Alligator mississippiensis: one gene and its partners. The protein of the gene in region 2 binds, or shares a complex with, the protein of the main gene of each other region. Links are inferred from orthologs where the notes say so. Each region holds a gene or a part of one and is shown on either strand. Other genes may lie near its edges. The genes, in order: IRF2, IRF2BP2, ZBTB16 and VGLL4.

The links.
Region 1: the proteins of IRF2BP2 (region 2) and IRF2 are in contact, whole or in part, in a crystal structure (PDB 8YTG), measured with the Homo sapiens proteins. The link is inferred for Alligator mississippiensis from reciprocal best matches to the Homo sapiens genes IRF2BP2 and IRF2. Residues at the interface, in NP_892017.2 of Homo sapiens: His517, Phe518, Val519, Gln520, Pro522, Phe531, Leu557, Trp564, Ala565, Phe566, Met567, Glu570, Thr573, Ile574; in NP_002190.2 of Homo sapiens: Arg331, Ala332, Ser333, Val334, Ile335, Lys336.
Region 3: the proteins of IRF2BP2 (region 2) and ZBTB16 are in contact, whole or in part, in a crystal structure (PDB 8YTH), measured with the Homo sapiens proteins. The link is inferred for Alligator mississippiensis from reciprocal best matches to the Homo sapiens genes IRF2BP2 and ZBTB16. Residues at the interface, in NP_892017.2 of Homo sapiens: Thr516, His517, Phe518, Val519, Gln520, Pro522, Phe531, Leu557, Trp564, Ala565, Phe566, Met567, Glu570, Thr573, Ile574; in NP_001018011.1 of Homo sapiens: Arg285, Ser287, Val288, Ile289, Thr290, Ser291.
Region 4: the proteins of IRF2BP2 (region 2) and VGLL4 are in contact, whole or in part, in a crystal structure (PDB 8YTF), measured with the Homo sapiens proteins. The link is inferred for Alligator mississippiensis from reciprocal best matches to the Homo sapiens genes IRF2BP2 and VGLL4. Residues at the interface, in NP_892017.2 of Homo sapiens: Thr516, His517, Phe518, Val519, Gln520, Pro522, Phe531, Leu557, Trp564, Ala565, Phe566, Met567, Glu570, Thr573, Ile574; in NP_055482.2 of Homo sapiens: Arg161, Ser163, Val164, Ile165, Thr166.

Annotation. Positions count from the first base shown.
Region 1 is NC_081825.1:71,101,790-71,109,331, reverse strand, and holds the start of IRF2 (interferon regulatory factor 2), read right to left. Parts: upstream 3,008-7,542; 5' UTR 2,780-3,007; intron 1-2,779. UniProt on the Homo sapiens protein: Specifically binds to the upstream regulatory region of type I IFN and IFN-inducible MHC class I genes (the interferon consensus sequence (ICS)) and represses those genes. Also acts as an activator for several genes including H4 and IL7.
Region 2 is NC_081824.1:152,548,023-152,555,035, reverse strand, and holds the start of IRF2BP2 (interferon regulatory factor 2-binding protein 2), read left to right. Parts: upstream 1-4,009; 5' UTR 4,010-4,301; coding exon 4,302-5,244; intron 5,245-6,737; coding exon 6,738-7,013. UniProt on the Homo sapiens protein: Acts as a transcriptional corepressor in a IRF2-dependent manner; this repression is not mediated by histone deacetylase activities. Represses the NFAT1-dependent transactivation of NFAT-responsive promoters.
Region 3 is NC_081839.1:33,140,954-33,148,459, reverse strand, and holds the start of ZBTB16 (zinc finger and BTB domain-containing protein 16), read left to right. Parts: upstream 1-4,493; 5' UTR 4,494-4,864; coding exon 4,865-6,111; intron 6,112-7,506. UniProt on the Homo sapiens protein: Acts as a transcriptional repressor. Transcriptional repression may be mediated through recruitment of histone deacetylases to target promoters. May play a role in myeloid maturation and in the development and/or maintenance of other differentiated tissues.
Region 4 is NC_081835.1:32,363,375-32,371,166, forward strand, and holds the start of VGLL4 (transcription cofactor vestigial-like protein 4), read left to right. Parts: upstream 1-4,786; 5' UTR 4,787-5,233; coding exon 5,234-5,315; intron 5,316-5,790; exon of another isoform or gene 5,791-5,952; intron 5,953-7,792. UniProt on the Homo sapiens protein: May act as a specific coactivator for the mammalian TEFs.

The DNA of each region.
Region 1 (7,542 bases), on a different chromosome or scaffold from region 2:
AAGCAGAGGGACAGTGAAATCTTATCCATGTTTCAAGGCATAGAAAAAATTCAGATTCAGAGAGAAATAATTTGTTTTATAGGTAAAATGTGTGACTTTTATAACCATATCACCATTTTCCTGCTATGGTAAATTTAAATGTTTCTGCTGTGGTCAATTCTCTTCTTATAGTACTAGCTCACTTTCTGCCAAAGGGATTCTATGTAGAACTTAGAGAGATTTATTTTAAATATTTTTTTACTAAACTCAAACATACAATATTTAATCTAGCTTAAATTTTTTACTATGTTCAAGAAAATGCAGTATAAAAATTTTGACCCAGTAGACTTATAACCATTAACAATTATAAGTGTTCACTAAACAGGAGGAAAGCGGTAGACTCTGACCCTGAAATCAATAAGCCTCTTCTATCTGAGTGACTGCAAATGGATCACAGGGGACTTGACTCCAGGACTCTGGAGGTCCCTTCTAGTCCTATGTTCTCAATATTAAATATGGAAAGAGGAATAAATGCACTAGAACAGCTTGGTCTGCGGTTTTCTTCAGACAGACCAAATGTGTTTTCATTGAATTATTCATGTCACTGACAATGCTGTCTCCCTGTGAAAATGTAGGATTTCATTTCAGATGCAATATTATTAAATATAATGATATATGTATTTTACATATCAGAAATCTTGTGTAAAAGAAATTAAAGCATCTAAGGTAAAATAAACCAACTCAGGAACAGATTCTCAAAGCTATCTAGGTACATAACACCAGCTAATTTCAAAGGAATTTAAGCTCCTAAATATCACTGAGGATCCAGGCCTCAGGATCCAATTTTGGCATGCTGAGCAACTTCACACTCACTGCTTTCACTAGGGATTCAAAGTGCCCGGTATTCATGGGGTGAGGGGGGCAGAGAGGCCCTTGGTACTTGAGCCTGGATTTACACACAGCTATAATTCCTACTTCATTCACAAACAATTTGGGGGGGTGAAAATGTTCAGGACCAGCCACTTGCCCTGATGGTGTACATCTACACAGCATTAACAAAGCAGACCCTGAACAAGATCATCCAGAGTGTGGATTAACACTACCATCCAGAGTGTGGATTAACACTGTATGCACCAGAAAGGAAAAAGCAGATCCTGTAACATCACATGTAAAGAACAGTTCAAATGTCAATGCCAGTTGAAAAACCAAGGTTCAAGTGGTGCAATGATTTAAAAAAATAAAAATATGCATTATAGCTCCAGGCCTGCAACTGGATCCATGAAGGTAAAATTGTGCCTGCTGATGTCACGGCTCTGGGCAGGTATTAGAGGTGTGCAGGACTGGACTGCTAATCGGCTGTTGTCGAAGGCTGCACAGGAGGACATTTTTCTTCAGTAGCATGAGACTGTATATCACTGCTCCATCTATGCCACAATCCTAAAGCACTCACTGTAAAACAAATCTTATTTCTAGAACTGCTTCTATAAACATGTTGTCAGGCAGCACTGAAGGTCCAACTATCTGCCACAACTGTTTCAAGCACCATAGGGTAACAGCACCTAAATACCTCTGAGGGTCTAAACCAGTCATTCTTGCCCTTTCTAGACTCAAAGCACCCTTCGACAGCCTCAAGGCAGCCCTCTGACAACCTCAGCTCTTAGCTTTCACTCAATTTCTGACTACAGAAGACTAACAGAGATGTTCTTCTGTTGCAGAGACTCAGAAAGACCACAACAGGCCAGGATACTTTTAACACTCCTGGCTCCTATATGAACATCTCTGGGTTTATCTGGTGATGGTGTCATAAGAGCCACATTGAAGCCATGAGGAGCGACATTGGAGCCATGATGTCTTACACTAGAAAGCTTCTCTCACTATCCTAGTTGGTGCAATAAGGGATGCTGCCCTAGGAAGTCCTCGCCTCTTGTGTTTATGGGGCGAATCTGGGGCATGCACCTCACAGGGCTTGCACCGTGCAGCATCCCCCAGGGGGGAATGTGGCTCCCTGGGTGAGAATCATGGATGTAAACAAGGTCATCTCAGCCGCCGCACGGCAAGGCTCGCTGGCTCCAGACCGGAAGGGGGGTGGGATCACTCGCGCGCACACAGGCTCAGACATACATGGGTTCACAACTCACACATGCACAAGTGCACAGGCTCACACACGGATTCACACACGCTCACACAGAGGTGGTGTGTCTCACACACACACACACACACACACACACGAGAGGTGGGGTCACACACACCTCTCCCCCGGGCTCGCAGGCGAAGGCAGTGCCCCCCGGCGCTGGTGCCCGCGGCCCTGGCCCTGGCCCCCGTCGCAGGCAGGCCGGAGGCGGCCCCGCCGCAGGGGCCCGTGTCCAGGGGGCTCCGCCCCGGCCCGGCCCGGCGGGCAAGGCCGAGCACCCGGCCGCGCCCCGGGCAGGCCTGGTCTCCGGGCCGCGGGGCTGAGCGCGCCGGGGCTCGCGTCACGGAGCCCCCTCCACACAGCGGGCCCCGCCCGGGCGCAGGCAGTCAGGCCGGTTGTCGCCGCCGCCGCTAGGCCGCCGCCGCGGGGGGAGGCCAGGCGGGCGGGCCGGAGGGCGGGAGGCGGCGGCCTCAGCGCCACAGCCTCCCCCCCACGCTGCGGCACCGCCGCGTCCCCCCCGGCCCGGCCCGGCCCGCGCTGCCCCCGCGCCGCGCCCTGGCGTTTGTGGGGGCGGAGGGGAGACAGCGGCCCCGTGCCCCCCTCCCCCCCGGGCCCGGGCTCTGCTCGGGCTTTGCTGTTGTTTGTTCGGGTTTTTAAAAAATACATTACCTCGGCGCGCCGGGATTTAAATGTTCCCTCCAGGTGCCGCCGTTGCCAGGGGAGGCGAAGTGGAAATGAAAACCGCCCGCTGAATAATCGCAGGAGCAAAACTAAAAGTTCCTGCCTCGCCGCTTGGGCTGAGAAAGGGCCAGATCGAAAGCAAAACAAGGAGAGGAAACTGCGAGGAGCGGCGGCTTGGAAATCCCCCCCTTTCCCTCCCCTCCCGGCTGTTTGTGCGGGCGAGGGGCGGAGGAAGGGGTGCGGAAGTTTGCCGCAGCCTTTCATTGGCAGGCGGAGCCGCTTTCATCATTTCTCGGAAAAGTCGATTTCATTTTCACTTCCCTCCAGCAGCCGCAGCGGCGTGTCCGTGTGCGAGAGGCAGAGACGCACACAGGCAGGCTGCGAGGTTTCAGTTCCAGGGCAAGAGAAACCAGAGGAGCTGCTGGACCACAGCCTGGCCTCTTTTTTCCTCCTTTTTATTTTCTTTTTCCTTCTCTAATCCTCTGACAAAGAACGCCTGGTTCTGCGGTTTTGCTTTTTTTAAGTGTCCCAATCTCCATGTCTCGAGGATGTGTCAACAGCCTCCCAGGGAAGCCTAGGGTTGGAAGGGACCTCAGGGATCAAGGTCCAGCCCCCCCGCGCACATACATAACTGGCACAGGGTCTGGTGAAGCAAGCCACTGCTTTGGAAAGCTTATGCATCTCTGATTTAGACAGTCTCTTTAGGAAAGCTTCTGCACCTCTCTCGGATTTAGGCAGTGCATAACATGACAGCCTTCTGCTAGTGCTAAAGCACCGCTGTCAAATCCCTATTCAGCCTCCTCTTGAAAACCTCCAGGAAAGGAGATTCCCTGGGCAGCCTGTTCCACAGCCTCACCCTCCAAAATATATGCACACTCAACCTCTTCGTTTAAAAGGTGTGGAAAACAAACCCAGCCCAGCCTCCAAAAGGTATCAGACATTGGCCTAAAAGAAAGCCCAGCCCAAGAGCTTGTTTGGAGTTAGAACCGATTCCCAATTTCTGTAGACTGGGAAAGCATAATGCAAGTCTCTGCTGTCACTGCATCCTAATTCCTTCCATCCCAGGGTATCAGATATTATGAATATGTGGAGATGCACCAGATGCTCAGCATATGCTGCCAGTTTCCTTACAGATTGCTTTTTTATGTGCAGCTTGACTGGTGTGCCTGAACATTTTTAGTTAAATTTTCAACCCCTCTTTGCAATTTTAAGCTTCACTTATTGATAAAATAATGTACATTTCCAGCCAGATGCCTAGTGCCACACAAATCAATGTTCCAATTGTGTTAGAATTGTCCTTTAGATCTCTGCAAGGCATCTCTGCACTATGTTGTCTCCAAAGACTAGGGCTTAGGGAGTTATCCTGGGGATCAGAAAAACAGGGTTTGGATCTTTTCTCTGTCAGATTTCCTGTATGACTCTCAGCAAGTCACTTGGGTCAATGCCCACAAAGACATTTAGATACCACACTCCCACAGAAATTGATTTAGTTTCTTAGTGCCTCTATATCCCCTCTGTAAAGTGGGGATGATAGTATTTACCCCTCACACGGGTATATTGCAAATGTTGATATTTTAAAAGATTGTGATGTGGTCTGAAAAGCCATAGCTAGATTTTCAAGCATGAACTAGTTAAGATAATATGTATTTCTTGAAAATATGAACTCACATTCTCAGGGTGAGTGGAAATCCAAAGAAAATATTTATTCTACAAAAATTTACACAACCCTGACTTTTCACAGGTGACAAGTCACTTTGATTTTTTTAAATCACCTACTATTTTTTACTTAACCCACCTTGTCCTAAATTTTAATAACAAAAGAGCAAAACTATGAATGGTTGCATGAAACTTGTCCAATATATTTATGAAATGTTTGGTGACAATGTATGCTCACAATTTGCTTACTGAATAAGCTATCTTTAAAAGATTTTAGATTTTTTTTCTCATAATTTGCTGACATACAAGCTTTCTGTAATATTGTTCTATTTAATTATATTTTACCTCAAAGAGAATCTGGGGTTTTTTCTACAGAGAGGCAATGGTTGTCAGTGATATTAATTAAAGTAAAACACATCTTGGTCCACCTGAAGAAAACATGAACCAAACTATTTTAGAATATTTGTTTCTCTTTCACCTTTCATTTTAGGAGCACAGAAAGGACTTTTTGGGATTGCAGACATGCATGTAATAAATGTTTGTCTAAATGGTCCACAAGAAGTCCAGCTTCTTCCATATACCACAGCCAGAAAGAAAGTGAAAACAATCAAAGAATGCTTACAACACAGCACAGGAAAAGAGCAGGAGAAACGAGGACTGCAGTACTTTGGCTCCTACTCCAGTAGGGAATTTGTTAGGTAAAATACACTCCTACAGGGGAAAACAAAAATGTTCCAGGGGTCGGTGCCAAACAGACTGGAGGAAAATTCCATCCTAAGTGCATGAGCAAGGCCCAACAGCCAGGCATATGAGCCGTTTCCTCAGTACCAGTAGGAACATAAGCAAGCATACATGGGCATAGTGGAAAATTTTAAGTACTGGGCTAATGAAGAAAAGACAGTTTGGCTCCTCTCTAACAACTTACAGTCTATCATATACTCCATTGGCATATTTGCCCTACTTGAACAAAAAATAAGGGCCAAAATCAAATAGAATTCCCTGCTTTTCATTTTTACTACTGCTTTATTTATCTATTTTTTGTATCATCATATATTATGCTCTATGTCACTTTTGTTTAAATTAGTAGAATGTGTAACATAATTGTATGCTTTTATGACATTTTATTATTATATATGTTATTTTACTGTTAATTCTATTGTATTGTTCCAATGAAAGCTGTAAATAAAGTATTACTACTATCACAAGCATACCGAGACCAATTTCCTATCACTAGTCATTCATGGCCAGTATCCAGTGCTTCAGAGAAAGGAACATAATAAAAAATCTGGAAACCACATAGTGCATTTAGAAGGCTCCTGCTGGCAGAAATCACCAGTGCAATATGGTGCAGTACATATTAAAAGTACTTAAAACATTTAAGAAGCAGAAGAATGAGCAAAGGAAGGACAATTAATCTAGAAAGAAATATCATAGCCACACAAACAAAACTGTAGAGTCCCCTGGTACAACTGAAACATTCCCTGACAAAACTGTCAAATTTCCTGAATTTTGCTACTTTACATTTTCTGGGGCCTCATCTGACTCATTGTAACATCTGCTAAAAGGTCTGATTGACTCCACTGTGATTGGGACTGGGCCTTCAGTCAGTGCTGAATACAAAACATTTCTCTTATCAGTATGTTTTAGCTACAGTCCAAAGGTGTAATGACAGCTCATGTGGATTTCTCCAAACTAGCCTATAATCAACTAGCGGTAGCAATCTAGCTATAGCAGTACAGACTACAAGCATTTGGGAGATTCATGCGGCCTGCACTAATGTCCATGCTGCTATTACTAGTGCCCAAGCTATTTGGTCTGAAGCTGGCACTATACAAGTTGCATCAAATCTCTAGATTGTAGTACAAACATATCCTCTCAATAATGCTCACAACCACCTGCGATTCTGCAGTGTCTAAATTTCACTTAATGTTATAATATATATTTAACAGTAACAAATACTAGTTTCAGAGACCACAGAGAGAGCAAAACTTTAAACCATATACTTTCGGTGTTGCTACAATGACAGCATTCATCAAAAAATCACAGGATTTAGTAGGAGCCAATATTAATGCTGTGATCATTTTATATGGCAGACGGTAAAGCAGGAGCGGGCAATTATTTTGGGCGGAGGGCCGCTTACTGAGTTTTGGCAAGCTGTTGAGGGCCACAAGGTTAGCCCCACCCCTTGACAGGTGCCCCACCCCCTGGTTGCCATCTTGGGACTGGAAGTCCTGCCCCCTAACCCCTGACCTTTGCCACCAGAAGTCTGTCCTCTTGCCCCCCAGAAGCATGCAAGGGGGGGTTGCCATCTCGGAACCAGAAAAATACCAAATTATATTCTAAAAAATCAAATATCTGCTATGACATTCATTAATGTGATTTCAAAAAACATTTTTGTCTTGATTTACCTGTGTTTGTGTTTGTATAGTGTGCATAGAGGTGATTGTATAATAGCTAAAAAGGAAATCTTACACATGGGGGACATGTGGGGGTATGGATGCATGGGTATAGGTTTGTGGGGGACTGTGGATGTGTGGGTATGTGGAGTGTGGGGGAAGGTGTGGGTGTGGAGCTTGTGGGGGTGGATAGGTGTGTATGTGTATGTGGGGTGGGAGAACATGGGTGTGGGTGAGTATGGGGTTTATGGGAGACTGTGAGTATGTGGGGGGGAGAGTGGCTGGGGAGAGTTGTGGCATGTGTGGAGGGGGAGGGTTTGCCCACCCCCCCCATGGCAGGCAGAGCCCCTGCCAGTGCTCCTCCAAGTCCAGGCTCCATGCTCCTGCCACTCCTGGCCCTGGCATGGGACCCGTGTGTCCTGGGGATGAGGAGAAGCAGGACCGGGAAGCCCCGCTCACAGGGCTCAGCACTGAAAAAGGTATCAAAATGGAGGGAAAAAAGCAAAACATTTACTTACCTGCAGGAGGGCCACAAGGCAGGCAAGGCACCAGACTTCCATGTGTAGACCCTGAGATGGTGCAGAGTCACTTGGAAGAACTGGATGCCTTTAAGTCGGCAGGCCCGGATGAGCTCCATCCGAGGGTGCTGAAGGCACTGGCCGACATCATTGCAGAGCCACTGGCGGGAATATTTGAATG
Region 2 (7,013 bases):
CGCTGTTTACTTAGTATACATTGATAAAGGCTCTTTAGAGAAGCGGGGGAGGAAGAAGGGGGGGTAGGGGGCGGAAAGCAGCTTTAAAAAATATAAAAGGGGGGCGCTCCTTTGAGCCGGGAAACAAGAAGCCTTAACCCTTCTGTCTCCAGAAAAAAAAATGATAATAATACAAAAATCAGGAGCCCCAAAAGGCAAAACAATGGGCGCAAGGCGCGCTGGGAATGCTGAAGCAGCGGCGGTAATGGATGACTAAGGTGAAACCTGAGAGGAAAAGCACATGGGAAGAGGCCGCCCCTTGAAACGCTGCTCGGATGTGGGTTTTTATGCCCGTGTTTTCACAGTCTCCCCCCCACCCCGCTTTGCTTCTGGTCGATGCCCCACAGCAAAGGCTCTGAGAAGGGGGACGAGCTTTCCCCAGCACGGGGGCAGGCCCTGAGCTCAGGGCGCCCGGGGAGGCGCTGGTTCCCTCGGGGCCGGGACGCGAGGGCGGGAAACTGCCCGGACATACCAGAGCACAGCGGGCGACGGGGACGTGTGTGGGGCTGGCCCCCGGCTGCAAGCGGCGCTGGCAGGGCTGACCTCGGCCCGGCGTCCGGGGAGGGGCCTCGGGGCTTGGAGGTGCAAGGGCACGAGCGCCCGGCCGCGTCTCTGGAAATCCCCGCGGCGCTTTTGCATGCTTTGTGTGCGTGTTTTTAAACCCCGCTTCCAAGTCGGGGTAAAACTGCAGGGGATAACTGCAGAGCCCGGTCCCTCGTGGGCTTCCACGCCCGCTTCTCTCCCTCTCCTCAGCAACTCTTTCAAACGCAGGAAGGCGGAAAGAAAGACAGTTGCATTTCCACCTGGGAGAAATGTTACAATCGTTGACCTGTCCCGGGACGAGGAATCCCGAAAGCTTGCTAAGAAAGACTCTTTATTTTAGTTATTTATTTTGCAACTATCTAGTGGGTCTAATAAAAGCTGTCACCTCCACTACGAGTCCCGATTGCTTTCACCTCTACCGAGAAGTTGTGATTCCTACAAAGCAGGAAGGCCAGGGATTGTGGGGACAGACAGCGCTCGTCCAGCTCCAAAGGGAAAGCAGTGGGGCCGGCGGATCAAGAGCATGGCGGCGGGGGGAGGAATAATTTCCTCAGCCTCCCCCTGCGGCCGGAGGAGAGCATGCCCTAGCAGCCAGGGTGCAGGGCGCCAGTTGCTCGCTGTGATGACAAAGCACTTCGTTTGAAGCCGCATCGAAACACCCGGCTGCCCACTGGGCTGTGACCTGGGCTGCCCAGTGCTGCAGCCTCAGCTTCGATGGTCAGCAGTGCAGGATCGCCATTGACCAAGCAAAGCAAGCCCCAGGCTGCCAAGGCCGGGGGGCAAAAAGGAGGGAGCTACGGGTGGTACTGGGAGCTGCAGAATCAGATCAGTCGCGTGGCAAGCAAATAATAATAATAATAATAGCAAAAAGGCCAGGAGCATGGCAAAGCATCAGGCGGGTGGGAGGGAGAGGAGCGGCAGGGCTGAGCCGCAGAGCCCCGAGCTGGCTCAGGGCGAGGGGGGGCTATTACAACACGCAATGCGGGGATCCTGTGCACGCTGCTCTCTCTACGTTAAGTAAAAGTTGAGCTCGGGAGGGAGCTTCGAGCCCAGAAATAGCGCGGGAGGCGGTGCTTAGCGCCGTGACGGGGCCGCGGCGGCGCTGGCTCAGTGTCCCTGGAATGTGCATTTCGCTTCGGCAGCGTCAAGTGCCAATTGCATGGAGTCACGTCCCCGGCCGAGCTTGCGCGCACGGGCTGCAGCAGCCCGGGAACAAAATGCGGACGTCAGAGCTTCCCGCTCCCGCCCTCCCTTCCTTTGTAACCTACATAACTCAGCAGCGGGACTGTGGGAATGGTGACCCGCACGCAGGAGCTGCAGGAAGCAGCCTCCACTTTGTTTACTCTGCACAAGCACACACACACCTCTCGCTGTTTGGGTGTTTCTGGCTCGACCGATTCTTTCATTTTGGACAGCCACACACACCGATTCCTTTAGTTGCGCAAACACCCCCCCATATTTGGCTGTTTCTGGCTTGAAGGATTCCTTTATTTACACAAACACACACCATATATTTGCGTGTTTCTGGCTTGACTGATTTCATTTTGCAGTCACATACACGCACCGATTCCTTTATTTGCACAAACACCCCCCCCCATATAGTTGGGTGTTTCTGGCTAGACTGATTCCTTTATTTCCACAAACGCACACTATATATTTGGGCGTTTCTGGCTTGACCAATTCCTTCATTTTGCAGTCATAGACACTCTCTTATTGCACAACCCTCCCCTATATATTTGGATATTCCTGACTTGACTGATTATTTGCACACACACACTATATATAATTTGGGTGTTTCTGGCCTGACTGATTCATTTGCACAAACACATGCTCACAGACATGCATACACACCCTGATTCCTTTATTTGCACAAACACCACCCCTCTATATAGTCGGGTTTCTGGCTTGACTGATTCCTTTATTTGTACAAACACACACACACTATATATTTGGGTGTTTCTGATGTGGCCAATTCTTTCATTTTGGACAGTCACGCACACACACGTTCCTTTATTTGCACACCCCCCCTATATAGTTGGGTGTTTCTGGCTTGACCGATTCCTTTATTTGCACAAACAAACACTATATATTTGGGTGTTTTGGGCTTGACTCCTTCATTTGCAACGACAAAGGGGCAGACCTTTTCTCTTTCCCTCTGATCGGGATGCCATTGTCAGAGGAGCTGGTTGGAATCCTTTTGAGAAGGGAAATAACAATAATGACAATAAAACCTGCCTGCAGGGTGGGAGGGCGGCTGTGTTTTGCTCTTGCCCCTGATGGGTTTGTGGTTGAAATGATAGGAAATCTAGACTGTCCCACTTCCTGACCCAATGAAAACACCTTTAAAAAAAAGAAATAAGGTGAGGGGGGATCGCTGTATTTATGATGTTGCTGCCCACCAGGCCAGGTAGAACAGCGCAAACAAAGGCCCTGAATGCCGCTGCCTGTGCACAGCCCAGGTGCACTTTTGCACTGCACTTGGAGCCTGGCAGGGCTCTTCCACATAAGCAGGCCCTGCTTTATCAGGTGGAGGGAGGGAGCCGCGGGGGGGGGGGGGGGGCGCAGTGCTCATTCAGCTCCAGGAGGTTTTGGCGGCCAGAAGAGAAGGCTGGGAAGGAGTTGCCCAAGGTCAAGCAGCAGAGACTTCATCAGAATTGGTCTTCCTTTGAGCACAGAGTGGGCATGATGACCTGGCTGGTGAACCAGCCGCTCCCCTCAGCCTACAACCGCAGGCATGTGGGGGAAAAAGAGCCAAAATAAGGCAGCCTCCCGCATAGAAAGTGTTAAAAAAACAACTGCTGCTGCACTGACACCTTGGGCCCTGCCTTGTCCCTTTTACCTACCTGGGATAGTGGGGGGAGGGGGGGACAGGAAAAGAGAAAAAGTCTGAGCCCCCCACAACACACACACCCTCTCCTCCAAGGCCCTGATACACACACACACACACACACACACACCTCTCCAAGGTCCCATACACCCCCCCCCCCCGCTTCCTTCAGGGCCCTTGACACAACCCCAGGCCCCATACACACCTCCATGGCTCCATATACACACACCCCCTTCAAGGCCTCTGACACACACAACCCCAGGTGCCATGCACACACGCACACCCCCCCTCCAAGGCCCCCGACACACACACACACACACACACACACACACACACACACACACAGAGCTTGCTTCCCATTCAATTCCAAAAGGCCAGCTCTGCCCCGCCCGGCGCTGCCCGCCCGAGAGGGAGCGGGTTCTTCTTGCAGCGCTGTTGTCTTGGCAGAAGTTCAATGAGCAGCAGCGGCAGCAGCAAGAGGAGGGGGGCCCCGTGTGCTGGAGGGAGAGGCGTGTGTGCGTGTGTGTGTGTGTGCGCGCGGGGGGGGGGGGGGGAGCGGGCGGCGCGCAGGCGCTCCGAGGCACTGTCGAAGAATCGCGGCAGTGGAGCAGAGCGCGCAGGCGGCAGCTGGAGCTGGTGTCCCCGCCCCAGTGCGAGCGGCGGGGCTGGGCGGGCAGCGCTGTCGCAGGCAGGAGCAGAGCTGCCGCGCCGCGCCAGGGGGGCTATGCGCCTCTCCGCCTCCCTCTGACCGCAGCCAGCCCGGGGTGCAGCAGCGGCAGCAGCAGCAGCCACCCCAGCAGCGGCGGGGTCTCCGCCGTGCCCCTCCAGCGCAGCCGCCACCACCGCCAGCAGCAGCAGCAGCGCCGGGGCCCGCTCGGGGGGGGCTGAGGCCATGTCGTCGGCGGCGGTGGCAGCAGCCGCCGCGGCGGCCGCGGCGTCCCGCCGGCAGTCGTGCTACCTGTGCGACCTGCCGCGCATGCCGTGGGCCATGATCTGGGACTTCACGGAGCCCGTGTGCCGCGGCTGCGTGAACTACGAGGGCGCGGACCGCGTGGAGCTGGTCATCGACACGGCGCGGCAGCTGAAGCGGGCGCACGGCTGCTTCCCCGACGGACGCGTCCCGCCGCCCTCCGCGCACGCCAAGCCCGCGCCGCCGCCGCAGCAGCCGCCGCTCAGCGCCAAGGACCTGCTGGTGCAGCCGCCGCAGCTGAACCACGCGGCGGGGCCGCCCGACGCCGGGCCGCGGCAGCCGCTGGAGCGCTACCCGCTGGGCGGCGCGGAGCGGGCGGCGCAGCGCCTGGGCGCCGACTACGGCGGGCGTGGGCAGGTGAACGGCATCCTGGTGCCCAACGGCTTCCCCAAGGGCCCCGACGACCCGCCCGAGCTGAACCGGCAGAGCCCCAACCCGCGGCGCACGCACGCCGTGCCGCCCACCCTCGTGCCGCTCGTCAACGGCGGGCTGGGCGGCCGCGCCGCGCCGCTGCAGGTGGCCGTGGCGCCGGCCGGCGCGGAGCTGGCCCACAAGCGGGGGCCCGGCTCCGTGTCGTCCGCCGAGCACGACGGCAAGGACAAGGCGCCGCCGCTGCAGCCCCGCGGCTCCGGGGAGCCCCTGGCGGCCGGCGCCGACTTGGGCGCGGAGGGCAAGGGCCGCGGGCCGCCGCCCCCGGGCGCCGAGCAGGAGTGGCTGGGCAAGCCCAAGACGGTGCGCGACACGCTGCTGGCCCTGCACCAGCACGGACACGCCGCCGCGCCCTTCGACGGCAAGTTCAAGAAGGAGCCCGGCCTGGGCGGCCGCCTGCTTCCCTACGACGCCAACGGCGCCGGCGCCAAGGCCGGTGAGTGCGGGGCCCCCGGGGGCGGGTCTTGTGTTTGCACCCCGGTCTGTGTGTGTCTGTGTGGGTACACCCCCCCCATCCGTGTGTGGACACCCCCCATGTGTATAGACATACATCTACATACACATTTGCACACATCTTCACACGCACACACATGTATACTCAGTATATTACATTCCATACACCTTGGGAGATGTGTGTATGTTGCATTCTCTCACACACATCTGTCTATCTATACCCAGGATGTAACATTCCATACACATTGGGAGATGTTCACACACACACGCACACACACACAGATAGACCCAGCATGTAACCCCCTGCCACACACACACTGGTTGTGTATACAGCCCCTGCACATATGTATACACCCCCCCATATATGTATAAGCCCCCACACATACATTTACACACACACACATATGCCCTTCCAACACCTACACACTCCCTACACATTGGGAGGTGCGTGCATATTACACACACACACAGAACCGGCATAGAACCCCTGGTACACATTGGTTGTGTGTACACACCCATTGACACCCCCTGTCTTGGGGAGAGAAAACAGCACCTGATGAAGTGAGCTAGCTAGATTTTTAGGTGTGTCTGTTAAGATGATAAGCAGCCAGCAGCAATTATCTGCTTGCTTGTTTATCTATCTATCTATCTATCTATCTATCTATCTATCTATCTATCTATCTATCTATCTATCTATCTATCCCTAGGTAATAAGCAACCAGCTGCAGTTTTCTGGTTGCTTATTATCTAGATATATAGATAGGTAATACCAAAGTGTGTGTGTGTGTAATTAGCACCAGCTTAGCTAGGTATACCTATTTTGCTTAGTCTGTACATTAAAAATCTGCCCTGCCTTGGAAGAGAAAACACCCCCTTTGCAAATGGAGAGGGAGAGTTGCAAAACTGCAGCTCCTGCACCCGGACTTCCTGGTGCTCAGCGCAGCACGGCTGCAACATGTCATTGTGCTGAAGTAGCATAACACAGCACTATGAGTCAGGTCAGGGTGACAGACACTGATGAGGGCTTTCCTCCTCCAGGCTGGTCTTGCCATGGGTGCTGATGCATGCAGGAAAGGCACCAATCACCTTTAGCCTGTGAGCAGACATTATTTTTTTTCCTGAACTGAATCAACAGCTGCCATGTGTTGCAGATCATGTTCTCTCTCTCTTTTTTTGCTGAGTGCGTGTGTGTGTGTGCAGCTGGGGTTTCCATGCGAGCGTGCACACGTGTTGGTTAGAATTTACACGGGCACACCTTGGTTAAATGAAACATTGAAGGCAAGTGCCGTTGCCCTCCATCATCTCCTGTCCCTATGTATGTGGGCAACAGTGCTGCATGTACATTTAAAGCAGGAGTGCCTTTTCACCCTCCAGGATTCATGTAACTGGCTCCCTTATAGCTGTCTGTATTAAACTGCTTGCTTATTATTGTTCTTTCTTTACACCTTTCTCCTCCCCATTCCTTTGCGTTTCCAGGGGCTCGGGCAGCAAGGAAAAGGAAGCCTTCGCCAGAACCAGAAGGTGAAGCTGGACCCCCTAAGATCAATGGAGAATCACAGCCGTGGTTGCCAGCCTCATCAGAAGGGATGAAAATGCCCATGACAGCAACACCTTTCATGTCCCCTCCACCTCCAACTGCCTCCCCTCATTCCAACCGGACCACGTCGCCGGAGACGGGCCAGAATGGCCAGTCCCCTATGGCTGCACTCATTTTAGTAGCAGACAATGCAGGGGGCAACCACGCCTCCAAAG
Region 3 (7,506 bases), on a different chromosome or scaffold from region 2:
ATTAAGTTCAAAAAAGTAAATAAATTGGAAACTGATGGGGAGAGATCAGAGTGCAGTGGCATATGCCAGAAGGAAAGGCTAGTTCTTGCCATATAAAGCGATTAACTCCTTTGTTGGGCTGGTCTCAAAGCTCAGAAATAAACCCTAAAGCCAAGGATAGCATTTGCTGGGTGTTATTTTTCAGAGATGGGCAGCCACAAAGCCAACCATCTATCCACTTAGGCACAGACTGGCAGTGCTGTTGCATCTGCCTTACTGGGGGGGGGGGGGGGGGGGTGCTGCCTGCTGGGCACTGAAGAAGGTCATAAGAAGGTCTTCATGTGATGCAATGTGATGTGATGCACCTGTTGTCATCCTACTCTTCAAAGACCTGCTGAAGTTGCAGGCACTGGTTGGATTTCCTCCACCTGAGATGATTGGCACTCCCCACACCTGGAGGAGTAGTTTCACAAAGAGCTGCTCCTTTGATCAGTAGATCTGTGGCATTTTTTTCCAGCAGCATTTGCTTGGGTTCTGCTACAACTTGCTCCTTGCAAGACTCCTGGGCCATAACCCCAGACCTCTGAAGTTTAGTGCAATTCATAAAAAAACAAAAATGTGCAGAGCGAATTGCATGAGCTCTGCTGTTAAAAGAGGACTAAGCCTGCACAGGGATGTCTGGATATAACTTCTCCAAGGCACTCCCCAGGTGATGCCCTCTAAACCTGGTGGATTCTCATTCTTCCCTTCCCATTGGCATCAAGGCACCCAGCTAACACTCAAATGGTTTTTTCATTTATGCTATCAGACCGTCCAAGGCTCCTGCTCTTATTCGAATCAACTTTTTAAAGCTAATTCTGGAAGACCTTAGAGCTGGGTGGGAGGGGGACTCTTCTTTGGAGCTGTATTTGCTATCTTAATACTTCCTGTGCATGTTGTGTGCATGACCTCAAGAGGAGACAATGGGTTCCACGTCATGGGCTAGAGGTTTTTTTGGATCTTCCTATTTTATGCCCCTTGGAATGGCTGTGCCTTTTGCTTCCTCTGTGGCTATTGATCTCCAAGGGATGTCAGCTATGAAATTCTGTGTGCATGCGGTGGAGGATATCAATTTTGAAGGAAGTCTAAAGGCAGATTTCCTACTGGTACGACTATTTCTGAGGGGGGGACTCCATTGTTCCTTGCATTGTCAAGCAACAGATGTTTCTGAGCAGCTTGTTACAACAAAGCTAATGTAACTGTAAATATTTGCTTTGTCTATATTTTTAGTGCTATCTATGGTTTGGACCAATAAGTGGTTTCTTTAGATCACACATGCACGGAAGGAAATGTTTGCAGTGAAATACAGTAACTCTTGTGATGACTCATGGTGCGGTGTGGATATGTGTGGGGTAAGGTATGGAGAAGCAGGGGTGTGTAGAAGAAAGCAGAAACAAGTGGACCTGAGGGAGTGCTGGATCAAAGTGTGCTGCTGAGCTGCCCCAATCCAAAGGGGTCTCCACAAACGGCACCTGTGGAAATGAAACTCCAGCTGAATGGAGTCTGCACAAGAAGGCAATGCACAAAGCAGGCATGGTTATTTGTATGGCAGCCGTGCTTGATGCTCTACCCAGGAGCTGGGCCCTGGGGTGATAGGCTCTTGTACACACACAGAGTAGGAGATTCTCCCTAAACCAAAAAGTTCACAAGTGAGATAGAAAAGATGGAAAAAGGGTGTGTGTGGGTGGGGGGTGAATGAAGGCAGCATGACTCATCTAGTCTTAATGTCAGGGGCCTGTGTGCCTGCATGGTGCCTCTCTCGTCAGCCCCTGCAGAGAAGCCAAGGACTGCAGGCCAGAGGAACCCGGCTCCGGTCTCACCCCTTGGTAAGATTGCTCCTGCTGGGCAAGGCTAAGCCTCCCTTTTTAGGAGCCAGATCTAGTGGGCACTTGGGTTGTGAGCTTTTGGTGAGTAGTGGGAGGAGGGTCATCTTTTTGTTCTGCAGGGCTGTGCTCTCCTTGCTCCTGCTGCAATAGCAACTATCAGGAAAAAGGCATTTGAATAACTAGCGCAGCCTGTGTGATTAGTATCTGAGTACCGCCATGTGCGTACACACATGATTTCAGGATTGGGACCTCCGATTGCAAGCTTGGGGTAGAGACCAGATCGTTTCTATTACAGCACATGGTACGATTCACCGATTACTTAATGCAGTCTTGAAGAGCCACTGTAATGAAGTGTAAGTCACAGTTTGTGTTTGGGGGAGAACTTGAATATCCTTTTGCCTGCGCTATGCCTATTCTGTGAATAAATGTAGGATTTCTGGCGTGCAGGGTCAAAGTAGCTGTAGGAAGCAACTCTGTTTAAAAGTTGAACAAGTCAGTAATTTTACACTCTCTATATTTATTTTATTTTATTTTTAAAGTGAAATGCACCAATTCACAGGAAGGACTGGGGGTTAATTTTCAGTGTGCTGCCTGGGAATTTAGCTGTGGGATTTCCATTATTGCTAATGGGATTCATGCAGCTTAATTTCATGCAAGCTACACTAAAAATGTACCCCTAACCGTCTGCAGAATTTCGGTTCTGAAATCCAACCTCTTCAGTTAGAGCGGGGTAAACAAACACCTGAAAGCACATAATTGTCTGCCTGTTTTTTTCCTGAATCACTTTTGATTTAAGGTGTGGAGGGGAAGCCTCTGATTTAAGCAATCTTTAAAAAAAAAAAAGAAAAAAAGGAAGAGGAGATGTGTATTCATGCTGATAGACAGCATGCTGAATTTCAGCTTGCTGCCAATTAAAACGGCAGAGTTATAACCCCTGAAAAATGGGGTGTAGTTGATGCCTTATCCTTAAGTATAGCACTGTGAATGCTACACTATAATACTTACCGGATAAACTAAGCCCTGTTGTCTTGCAGTATAAAGGCCTCTGTTATTAGGCTGCTCCTGTTAAATGACTGCTATCATTTGGTCCCGAAGTACATTAAATCCCATTATAATTATAAACACACTTCCCTATAACATTCTCTTTAGATTACATGCACACGGCTTTACCCCTAAGGGTATCTTTGTACTAATACCATTCTTATTTGTTGTTTTAGCTGTGGCAATATCGGGTCCTGCAGGACCGGGAATAGGCAAAGGGGAGGGGAAAAAATCTGCCAAATGATTGAGCTGTGCTGCCTGGCTTCTCCGAGAAACGGCACAGCTTAAAAGGGGCTGAACTTGGGCGCAGGGCTGCCCCGGGCCACTTGAGAAGGACGAAATGTTGCACGGTCTCCCTTCTGTAAGAGGCTGGGCAGTAAAGCGGGCGGGCGGGCGGGCGCTCCCACGCGGGTCACCTGCACCAAGCGGCCGCTTCCCCGGCCGTGCACGCGGCTCGGCGGAGGCTCAACAAGTGGAGGCGGCCGGGAAGCTCCGGGAGCAGGTGCCGGCGGGGCCGGGGCGGGGCGGGGCGGGGCGCATCCCCCGCGGCAGCCGCCGGCTCCTCCATGTTTGTTGTTGGCAGAGGCCGGCCGGGCGAAGCGCTGTCCAGCAGCCCGGGGCTCCGCTCCGCGTCCTCCCTCCCCACCGCATCCATCCACACCGCCCGCTCCGCTCCCGACTAGCCGGCACATGTTCGTGCACACCCCACAGCACAGCACAGCCTGCTCCGCTCCGCTCCGCTGCATCCGAGTGCAGACCACCCCCCCCAATCCGCTTCAACCGGGTCCGGTGCAGACCCCCCAGCCCAGCCCGCTCCGGTGCATCTGAGTGTAGACCACCCCCCCAATCCGCTTCAATCGGGTCCGGTGCAGACCCCCCAGCCCAGCCCGCTCCGGTGCATCCGAGTGTAGACCACCCCCCCAATCCGCTTCAACCGGGTCCGGTGCAGACCCCCCAGCCCAGCCCGCTCCGCTCCGGTGCATCCGAGTGCAGCCCACCCCCCTGCTCCGGTCCAATCGGGTCCGGTGCAGACCCCCCAGCCCAGCCCGCTCCGCTCCGGTGCAGCCGAGTGCAGCCCACCAGCCCAGCCCAGCCCGGTGCGGTCCAAACTAGTCCGGTGCATTTTAGTTTACACCACCCATCCCATCCCATCCCACCCCGCTGCGGTGCAGACCCCCCACCCCGCCCCGGTCCGGTACAGACTAGTGCGGTGCATTATAGTCCAGCCCGATCCAATCCAATCCGGACGAGCCCCGCGCGTTGTAGTTTAGATTCCCCCCCCCCCCCATCCCGGCCCGGTGCATCCTAGTGCGGACTACCCATCCCGGTGCGGTCCAGACGAGCGCGGTGCATTTTAGCGCAACCCGGACTATCCCCCCCCCCCCCCCCCACTCCCAAATCGCGGTGCGGTGCGTGTCGGGCGGGAGCCGGGCGAGCGCGGGTGTCCGGCAGCTAGGTGTCAGGCCAGGCTCGCAGGCGCGCGGCGGGAGCGCGGGGCGGAGCGGCAGCGGGACGGGGCGGCGCCGGCAGCCGCGCCCGGGCGGGCGGGCGGGCGGGCGGGAGGTGGCTGCGGCCGCGCCGTGCCGTGCCGTGCCGGTGCGGTGCGGGCGAGCGGGCGGGATCGCTCGGGGGCGCGAGCCCGGCGCCAGCAGTCAAGATGGAGCCGGGCCGAGGCTTCGTCGGGGGGGAGCGGCCCTGACGCGGGTGCAGCAGCGTCAGTGATTTGCTGGCCCGCGAGCACAGCGGCGCCGGGGAGGATGAGAGCGGGCACTGCGAACTGCCCGCGCCCGCCGCTGCTCCGGCGCTGAGCCCGCAACTTCCCCGCACCTGGGCGCTGCCAAACTTGGAGCCCGCCCGGATCCTAACGGGCTCCTTCCTCTCTCTCTCTCTCTCTCTCTGTCTGTGTCTCTCTGTCCCTGCCCCGCTTCCCCAGGCAGCCCGGGGGAAAGACACCCTCATGACTGATCCTCCGGAGCACCATGGATCTGACTAAGATGGGCACGATCCAGCTGCAGAACCCCAGCCACCCCACGGGGCTGCTGCACAAAGCCAACCAGATGCGGCTGGCGGGGACCCTGTGCGACGTGGTCATCATGGTGGACAACCAGGAGTTCCACGCCCACCGCACCGTGCTGGCTTGCACCAGCAAGATGTTCGAGATCCTCTTCCACCGCAACAGCCAGCATTACACCCTGGACTTCCTTTCGCCAAAGACTTTCCAGCAGATCCTGGAGTACGCCTACACCGCCACCCTCCAGGCCAAAGTGGAGGACCTGGACGACCTGCTGTACGCGGCGGAGATCCTCGAGATCGAGTACCTGGAGGAGCAGTGTCTGAAGATCCTGGAGACCATCCAGGCCTCCGACGACAACGACACAGAAGTCGGCGTGGCGGACGGCGGCGCCGAGGAGGAGGAGGATCGGAAATCCAGGTACATCAAGAACCTGTTCATCTCCAAGCATTCCAGCGAAGAGAGCGGCTACGCCAGCCTGGCCGGCCACAGCTTGACGGGGGTGATGGTGGAGCAGAGCCCGTCCGTCTCCACGTCGTTTGGGCTCTCCGCCATGAGCCCCACCAAGGCGGCCGTGGATAGTTTGATGACCATCGGACAGTCGTTGCTGCAAGGGGCTTTGCAGCACAACCCCTCCGAGGACTTGCACTTGGTCGGCGGCCGCCACCCCAGCCTCTCCGAAGTGAAAACAGAAGCGATGCAAATTGAGGAAGCCTCCAGCCACGAAAGCCCCCGGACGGCGGAGTCCAGCACTTCTGGCGGGGACAAGCCCGACGACAAGAGCAAGGACGGGCCCGGGACCCCGACCCGTAGCAGCGTTATCACAAGTGCCCGTGAACTTCACTATGTCCGCGACGAGAACGCGGAGCAGCCCCCCGAGGCGGGCCAGGGAGCGCCGCTCGGAGGGGAGCAGTCGGTTTCTCAGAGCGAGAAGCCCCTGAGCGTCTATTCTGTGCTACCAAATCACAAAACTGACTCTGTGCTCGGCGTGCCGCCCTCCATGACTTCTGCCCTGCACGTGCAGCCGGCTCTCGCCGTGTCCATGGACTTCAGTGCTTACGGGGGCCTTCTGCCCCAAGGCTTTATCCAGAGGGAACTGTTCAGCAAGCTCGGCGAGCTGGCAGCCGGCATGAAAACTGAGAGCCGAGCCGTCGGGGAACAGTGCAGCGTGTGCGGGGCAGAGCTGCCGGACAACGAGACGGTCGAGCAACACAGGTGAGTCTTCCCGCTACGTCCTTCTCAATGTGCCATCGGGTCTCTCCTCACGTCCTGTCACGATTGGCAATTTTCTCTTTTTTTTCCCCCCCAGTTTCTGTTGCACAATCCACAGGGCTTTTTGTGGGGGAGGAAGGGGGTTGTTTTGTGTTTGTGAGTGAATTTTGTGCTGGAGGGTTGCGGCCTGTGTCATGGAAGACAGATCCCCCGTGGACGCGATTCACCCTTGTGCAGAGAGGGCTGGTGCAAAACCTGTGTGTCGTGTTGTTCCCTGCTACGGTTGTCAAACATGGGACTGTGTGCGCTGCCCGGGCATTTTGCTGGCCCTCTCTACTGCACCGTATGTTTGCAACAGGCAACGATTTGGCAGTGGCACCGCGTGTTAGGCAGGGAATGGCCTGACAAAGGATTGTGATGTTGCTCATTTGCTGAGAGTTGGTCCAAGCTCCCCACTAGCTTCCCAGGCTGATGCTGCCTGGGAGTGTGGCTAGTGCTGTCTCATGCCAAATCCGAATTTGCCCCAGGTATCTATCTCCTTCCCAATTCTAGCGCCTGCTTCTTTAAGCAGATGGGAAGCGTGCCTGTGTGGTCAGACACTCAGCGATCTGTCTGCTTGCTGTCCTAGGGACTTAGTCTGGGCATCTGACTGCAGATTGGGGTGTGTGCATGTGTGCGCGCACTATTATTTTTGGGTGAGACCTCTGTGGCTCTTTGCATCTTGCTTAGTTGGCTTTGGGATGTTTCTTGCTGTGCCTCCTGGATCTGTGCTCTGATTCTAGGCCAGTCTGCTGCTGCTCCTCTCCCCGGGAGCAACCTCTCTGGCAATGTTTAATCTCCAGGCTCTGGACTGAACGCCACAGAGCCCAGCTCTGAGTCCAGCCACACTGGAGTAAGGTCAGAGGGCGTGTGCTGAACTTAGTGGAGTTCCCTTTAGGTTCAGGCCCATTTTGAAGGAGGTCAGAGTTTCACCTTTGCTTGAGTTTTGACTCGTGGGTGTGGTCTGGGGGTTTCTCCGGAGCCAGTTGGGGCCCAGTCAAGTGCATTCATCTGCCCGGAGAAACGCTGGAGCTTGCTGTGCTGACTTAAGTGGGGCCTGCTGGGGCAGTAAAGAGGTCTGATTGTGAACATCCATCTGCGGGGTCAGGGCTTCGCCTGCCGGGAGCAGCAAGAACGGGGACCCCAGCTGAATTTGGGTGCAGTAATCACAGACCAGTCGGCCTTAGGCTACACTGCGAATGCAAGCCTTTATGCCTTCTGTACTCCAGGGAAAGCATGGCACGCTCGGTAACAGGGATGCTGTAGCCACACAGTTCATGGGGGGGTGGGCATGGAAATGGGTTCAAGGAGCTTGCCCAGTAGGACATCAGAGGAAGAAGGCCAGTTTGGGCTCCAGTT
Region 4 (7,792 bases), on a different chromosome or scaffold from region 2:
CCATTACCATATTTCATTACTTACTTGATTGTCCCAGTGTCCAGCAGCTGAATTTTGGGGAAAACTACATGTGGTTTGTAAGTAAGTATGGTACTCTGAGGCCTAGTAAAGTGAAAGTTAATTGTAGCCTGTGAGATCGAAAACCCAAAAGCAGAGTCATTTTGCATCAGAGTGAATTGAACGTAGGTGCTGTAGTACTTGAATGATTTCTCAAGCCCATCCCACTTCAAATTTACAAATATAATTTTATTCATAAAAGTTTCTTCCATCTGGAAAGCTGCTTATTGCTCGGTCTGGGGGTAGGTGAGCACAGCTTTAACTGCTAAAAATTTGATGAGCCTCATGACATTTAATTAACAATCTAGGTTTTTAATGGATCATTATAATTGAGTGTGTGCACATGCACGCTCTCACACTCACGCGCGCATGAGCGCTCGCGCACACACACACAAACACACACACACTCTCTTTATTAAAAGGATTGTAGATCTCAGAGAGTGTGGTTATGAGCAGTTTTAAATTATTAGGTACCTAACTTAAGTACCCAGCTACTTTCTTGTGCAGCAAAGTAGGAGCTTTTACACTTCATCTTCTCAATAAAACAGTTTTTTGTTTTATTTTTGCATTAATCTCTGAAACAGTGCTCGTGTCCCTTTAATTGAAAGGAAATACAGGCAGGCATTTTTCAGCAGAGTTTTTCTTATTTCAATTAAAATACTTAGAGGAAGTAATTTTTTTCATCTTTAAATTTTATTCTAAACTAGTAACCTAGGTTTAGTAGAAATAACAGTAATAGAAGTGCCTTGGCATTTTAAAAATGTTTTTGATGAAATGTCATTTTAGGGAGCACTGCTATAAGAGCAGTGTCTCCCCTTTTGACATTCAGGAGAGGTATTAAGGCTAGGTACAGACATTGTACATAAACCACTTTAAGTGGTCAGAAACTGGATTAAACCTGTAACAGAACAGATGTTCAGTGCACATAAACCAGTTTGAAAATGTCTGAAAAATGGTTTGAGATAAACCTGGTTGAATGTAGTATCAGACTTAACTATTTGGCTCAAAACGGTTTATGCAATGTCTGTCCAAGACCCCTTGCTGGTTTAAGTTACATCAGAGTCCACCAGCATCCTGGCAGGCTCTCTGGGCTGGGCAGGGCTCTCTGCTCCATAGCAGAGCTGGCCCCTCCCCTCTGCTCCCTGGCTGGAGTTCAGCACAGACTTGCAGGCACAGCAGGGTGTGCTGGCTTCCCTGTGCCCCCCTCCTCCCCACTCTCGCCACTCGCTGCTTAAGCAGAGATCCCTTTCTCCTCTCTACCACAGCAGGGACCATAGCCAGCATGTGGTAGGCTAGTTAATGCCAAGGTAGGGTGTGTGTGTGTGTGTGTGTGTGTGCGCGCGCGCGTGCGCAATTTCACTGGGATAGGCAAACAGTGACCACTTAGGACTTTTGAAGCTAATCAACAGGCCAGCCAGTAAACTGTTTAAGAAATGTGAAGTAATGTGGAGAGAGGCTTTTGTTTTGCTAATTGGGTGACAAAGACTGTTATCAGTGCCCCTCTTCCCCCCCCCTCCCCCGCCAGGTCTGCCCACACTCCTCCCTTATTGCTGCAGCGGGGGGGGGGGACCATGGTCCCTGAGGCAGAGAGGGGCAGGGAGCAAAATTCGTTTTCCGTCTACGCCACTGGCAGCCGGGTGGCGCCTTGCCCCAAATTGGCCTCTGGCTTTCCCCTCTGCCGGAGGAATAACCCCATCCCTGTCCCCCCAGGGCCCCTGCCTAGCTGTGCCCCCTTCCTGCCACTGCAATGGGAGGGGTCAGGGCCCTTACTGAGGGCAAAAGTCCCTGTCCCACAGTGGGGGAGAGTGAGCCGCTTCCCGGCAAGGGGCTGCACTGTGGGCTTGGGTTGCGTGCGGCAGCGCCAGGGTGTGGAGTGGGCCAGAACCTTGCAAGCCCCCACAGTGCCGCCACACTCCACAGCCGTGCTGCTGACCCCACAGTGCATCGTCGCTGGGAAGCTGTGATGGGCTTCTGCCTGTCAGGCATGCACTGTTCCAGCTGCTGGGTGGGGGTGGTCCTGGCCCAGCCCCCACCGCTTGTTTTATGCCAGGGAAAACCATTGAGGGGGTTTATTCAGCCCCCATTATTCCCCGCTGAGCTTCAGCTGCAGGCCAGCCAGGCAGATGCTGCTGCCAGCATCTGAATAAGCTTCTTCCTACTGGGAGGGGTCTTGCTGCATGCACAGAGAGAGGCTGCTCAACCACAGCTGGGTCAGCTCAGCGTGGCCACCACCACTCTGTGCTTTCTGTTGAGCCTGGCTGCCGCTGGCCTGGAGGACAGAGCGGTGGCAGCTGGGCCGGGCACACCACGTTGTGGTGGAGTGGCCTCTTTCTGTTCTTGCAGTAAGCCCCCTCCCCGCAGGAAGGGAATTATTCAGCTGCTAGCTGCTTAGTCTGCCCAGCCGGGCTGCAGCTGAAACTCAGGGTGGGGGAGAATAACGGGGGCTGAATAAGCCCCATCAGTGGCTTGCCCTGGCACAGAATGGGCAGCAAGGGCTGGGCTTACCCCCGCCTGGCAGCTGGAGCCTGTCATGGCTTCCCGGCGGGGCTGCGCTGTGGGGCCAGCAGAGCGGCTGTGGAGTGTGGTGGTGCTGCAGGGGCTTGCAGGGCTCTGGCCCCAGACCCCAATACTGCTGTGTGCAGCCCGAAGTCACAGCGCAGCCCCTCGCTGGGAAGGGGATCACTTTCCCACACAATGGGACAAGGGCTGCTGCCCCCAGTAAGGGCCCTGGTTCCCTTCTGCTGCAGCGGCAGGGAGGGGGCATTGCCAGGCAGGGCCCCGGGGGGCGGTGGGTGGGCAGGGATGGGGTTATTCCTCCAGTGGAAGGTACACCTGGGGGCCTATTCCGGACAGGGAGCCACGTGGCTGCCAGTGGGGTAGAGAGGAAACAAACTTTGCTCCCTGCCTCACTCTGCCTCAGGGGCCATGGTGCCTCCCTGCTGTAGCAGCGAATAGGAGTGTGGGCAGACCTGGCTTGGGTCCTTGCCAGTGGCACAGAGTGGGAATTAAACCCTGCTCTGGCCAGTTCAGTCTGGGTTGGCCACTCCCTCCCCAGCACAGCTTCTCTGCAGCCGAGGGCTGGCTCTAGTGCCCCCTGTGCCTGGCCTGAGCAACTGCGGGCATGTTTGTCCAGTTACAAACCGGTTCAGCCTAGACAGATTAGACTAACCTGTAAAGGTTGAATCAGCTCAGGCTCTGGCTTTTTGAATGTCTGTCCCTAGCCTGAAAGGCTCCATATCATCAAAAGATGCATGCACTGTACACACTGCCCCTTGCCTCAGAGTGCTAGCCTGGGTCTGGGGGCTGGCAACACTCTTGCCCCTTGAGCAGCCAATGGAGAAAAGCCTGGGACCATGCAGGCAGACATCCCTAATGATAGAGTCCTGCCAGGGCCTGCCCATGTCCCCTCAGCTCATCTCCCTGCAGAAGGGAAGGGAGACCTGCTTTAGTGTGCTGCCCCCCCCCCCCCCCCCCCCCCCCCCCCCCCCCCCCCAGCATCTAGCCTGAGACACTGCAGGCACGTGCCTGAATTTCCTCAGTCCAGAGAGAATGTCTGTGCAGTTTCAAAACAGTTCAGCCTAGTCAGGTTAAACTAACCTGCAAAGTTTGAATCAATTCAGGCTCAGGTTTTTTGAATGTCTGTCCCTAGCCTAAAAGACAGGAATGGAATGTAGGCATCCAATTTCTATTGACAGATGGGTGCCTAGCTCTTTTTGTACCTTTTGAAAATCTCCCCTGAGGTAACCAAGGCAGAAAAGTGATTTGTACAAGGCCACAGACCAGATATTAGAACCCCAGAACTCCATTATGTCTTTGTTCAGACCACACTTTCCTACTGTTGCTTTAGGTGTTAATCTACCACAGGGGATATATAAAGATACCTATTAGGATGACATACCACATAGAAATATCGATACAGATGTTGTTCTTTCTGCGATGATTGGTATACATCTGTATAAACAATTAGAAATCTTTAAGATCAAGGTTTTGAACTGCTGGAAAACAAACCACATCCTGAGATGAGAACAACTATTGTTTTAAAAAAACAAAAATAACAACAACAAAAGTGTCCTTCACCCTGTCATTTAAAATGGTGTTAGAGCAGGCATTTAAAAAAAAAAACTGTAAAATGTTTAACTACAGATCTTTCTTAAGGATTTAAAAAACAACATTAAACTCCAACATAAACTTCACGTGTGTTTATAGATACATATTCCACTATTCAAACAGGTGATTTTTTAAAAATTATAATTCTCATTTTTTCCATATCCTGGCTACTAAGAATCCAGTTTGTTAATATTTCAAATAGTATTACTTTTCAGTGAATTGGCAACATTATTGTGCTATGTTGAAACCTTATCAAATAGTTGCAAATATTTTAATAGTCAAGTAAAAATAAATGTGAGGGGGTGGGAAAAATTATTTAAAGTAAAAAGTTTAAACTCAGTGCTGTCACTTGGAAATCCTTTCTGAACAAGTTAATCCTGTTTCCTTGCAGATTAGCTTGCTCAGTTTCCTCAACTTAGTACTCGGAGGTCTCTGTGTTTTTCTGGACTTTTCCTGTCTCCCTCCCTCTCTGTTTGCAGTGGCAGCACTGCTTCCTGTCAAGAGCAGCTCTGACATGGTTCTTTCTTTACAGACTCTCCACCTCCTCCTTCCTTTTCTTTCACTCAATACATTTAGAGACTGATCTTGTGCAGAAAATATCCTTGACATTTGAAGAGCTCAAGGGATTCAGTGAGCATGCTCAGTTCTCTGTGCCGGATAGAAAGAGGAAGCTAGTTTACATACGAGTCATACCAAGCATAGCCTGCATGTCAGTGCAGTTAACTTGCAGCGGGCTGTGAGCAGAACTAGCGTGGCTTTGTTTTAGGAAATTTCCTTCCTTTCTTTTTCTTTTCTTTTAATTAGACAAAGATTTACAAAAAGGTTTTTAAGAGTCTCCTTTGTAGAAGGACATACAGTACACTTTAAATTTAGCCTAAAAAACCTGGAAGGGTCCTCTTTTTATCCTTCTAAACTGCCTTTTAATATACCTTTTTGATTAATTAAAGGCTGGGCCTTGAGCTTGTGAAGTTTAGAAAGAGCCAAGAGCTACTTAACAGCATCTGTCTGGCTGCTTCTCCCTTTTTCTGGGCGAAAGCAAGCAAGCTGGTCTTTTTTGCTAGCCTGATAAATGCTATTTATGAAGATGGACCTGTTGAACTACCAGTACTTGGACAAGATGAACAACAATATTGGCATTCTGTGCTATGAAGGTAATTGTTTCATTTCACAAACTGCCTTTTGTGGACTGTATTTTACTTTAAGTTGGATTTTTCTCCCCTTTGGTTTATGTTTGTTAACACATGCTTTAGTACTGGCTAAGTGTCAAGTAAAATTTGAATTCTTATTTTCAAAGGAATATTTTCTATTCTTTTGAGCATGACATATAGTTTGGGTTTTTAAAAGCAAAGATGGCACTGATTGAAATACTTTAAATCAAGAACCTTGCTTGTGCACCCAGATACCATTCTGATAGTGTTAATATAGTTGTAAAGGAAATAATTATCATTTTTATAACATGGGTAAAAGCATTAATGTATTATACCTTTATGTGTATAATATAGTCTAGCAAGCGTATACTAAATAAATGCAATAAGCTTTTATTTGTGCTTTATCTTTATTCTACATGCTACATCTACATCTATGCTTTATCTACATTCATAACATATTTTGATACAGGATACTTACAAGTTTTTGTCGTAATTCAGTAATTGGTTTTAAACAGTGAAGAATTTTGCTCCTTTGGTTTTGAGGGTTGTAGGTATCCATATTACTGGGCACGGAGTGGCCTTTTGTTTGACTTCTCATTTTCTATATAGCTCTGAGAGTCCTGACAGTGAAAGATGTTTCTCCCCCATACTCCCACAGACACATACACGCACCTCCTCCCCCAAGAACTATCCCACACTGCAGCCCTTGTGGACGCAATTACACAACAGTCTGGAAAACTTCACTTTTTTGTCTTTGTGTTCTGAGTTTGCTTATTTTGTCCAGCTAACATAGTTTAGTGTCAACTGCTGATACTGTGGGTAATAGTAGCCTTGTTTCAAAGTTACTTTAGGTAATGGGGGAGGGGGTGCAGCTGCGTAGTTTTAGTTGAGCTTTATCTACGTGCAGTTTACAGAACTGGTAATGGCTTGGCTTTGAATGGAAAGAAAGGCACTACTGAGCTAATTCAGCTTGGCAGTAGGACTGTTTTTGCTGTAGCCACATTCAAACATAGCAGAAATCTTTATTCTGATTCAGCAAGAATTTTTTCCAAGTTCATCTGGAAAGTAAACTTGCTGTAAATGACTGTAAAGCAATAAAAATATATATAGATGTGATCAGGAGATATCTGCTCATACCACCTAAGAAAAAACTAGGCCTTAAATCTGGGAGCAGAACCTCACTCTCATAAAATGTCTGCCCTTCATCCTGCTTCAGTCAGAATGGCCATATTTCCTAGCTTGAGAGAATAAAAATGCTCATATGTAGAACTATGAAAGCCTCTACTTTACTTTTCATTTACATAACAATCTTGTAAAAGAATGTACTTGGATAAATCTGCTGTACAAAGAGTGGGTTTAACCAGTTAGTATTGAAAAATACAATGTAGATTGTGTGTGGCCATCTATACTTTCATACTCTTTCCCATTTTGTAGCTTCTTTTTTGAAACTTCTTTGTTGCAAGAAGAAACCAGATAAAAGAATTTTGAGTTTTTTTGGTAAGTTGGTCATCGCCCTGAATTAAAAATGGTGCTTTATTATGACATGACTGCTAGTTTGTAATGAAAATGAATTCTAAATAGAATTTCTGCTTATCGAGGGTACTTCTGGTTTTTTGCGTTTCTCTGACTAAGGGAAAGGGTTTGTTTGTTTTTTCCTTAGGCTTTCATTAATTTCATTCCATTACGTTTATTAGTCAGTACTTTGAAGCTGCTTACCAAACTCTGCTTTCTTATCATTCCTTTTTAAACCTGTTTTTTTGGACAGATCTTACTTTTGGTAGTTGGAAAGCAAAAGACCATCTTAAGGAACACACTCTAATATGTTTTGTTTAGTTTAGATGTCTCTTGCTGTTTTCCTTATTATGGAAGTTAACATTATTTTTTAACACTAAAATAAACATATGGGAAATGAAAAAAGAAAAGCAAAACCTGATTGCTGTTTTATAGTGAGGTGTTTATATCCTAGGGGTTTAAAAAGTATAAACACTGGCCCATATCTCCACTAAACCCTGAAAGGTTATTTTAGAGATGCTTACAGATCTTCCTTGCCACTGCCATGGAATTTTACAGTGGGATTGTCAGCAATGATGGATTCTTTTTAAAGCCACAGCTTGCAGTTGTGGGTGTGGGAGTGTGTGTGTTGAGAACAAAGTGGGGTTTTTTTCAGATTAATTTCTTAGGCTTTGAGGCTCGTACTTGAACTACTTATACATGTGCAAGCACACGCATACATACACACGCATGTGCGCACACACACACTTCCTGGAAAAGTTCTTTTGCAGATGTCAGATAAATATGCATTACATGATGATTATATAATCATGATGAGCTATATATATATAGCTCATCATGATTATAATATATCATGATGATATATATGATATAATCACGTGTCAGGATTTCTAGAAGAGAGGAACAGAATTAGATGCCCATATCCCACTGGAAATTAGTGGAATGTTTGTTTGTTTATTTCATGGGTG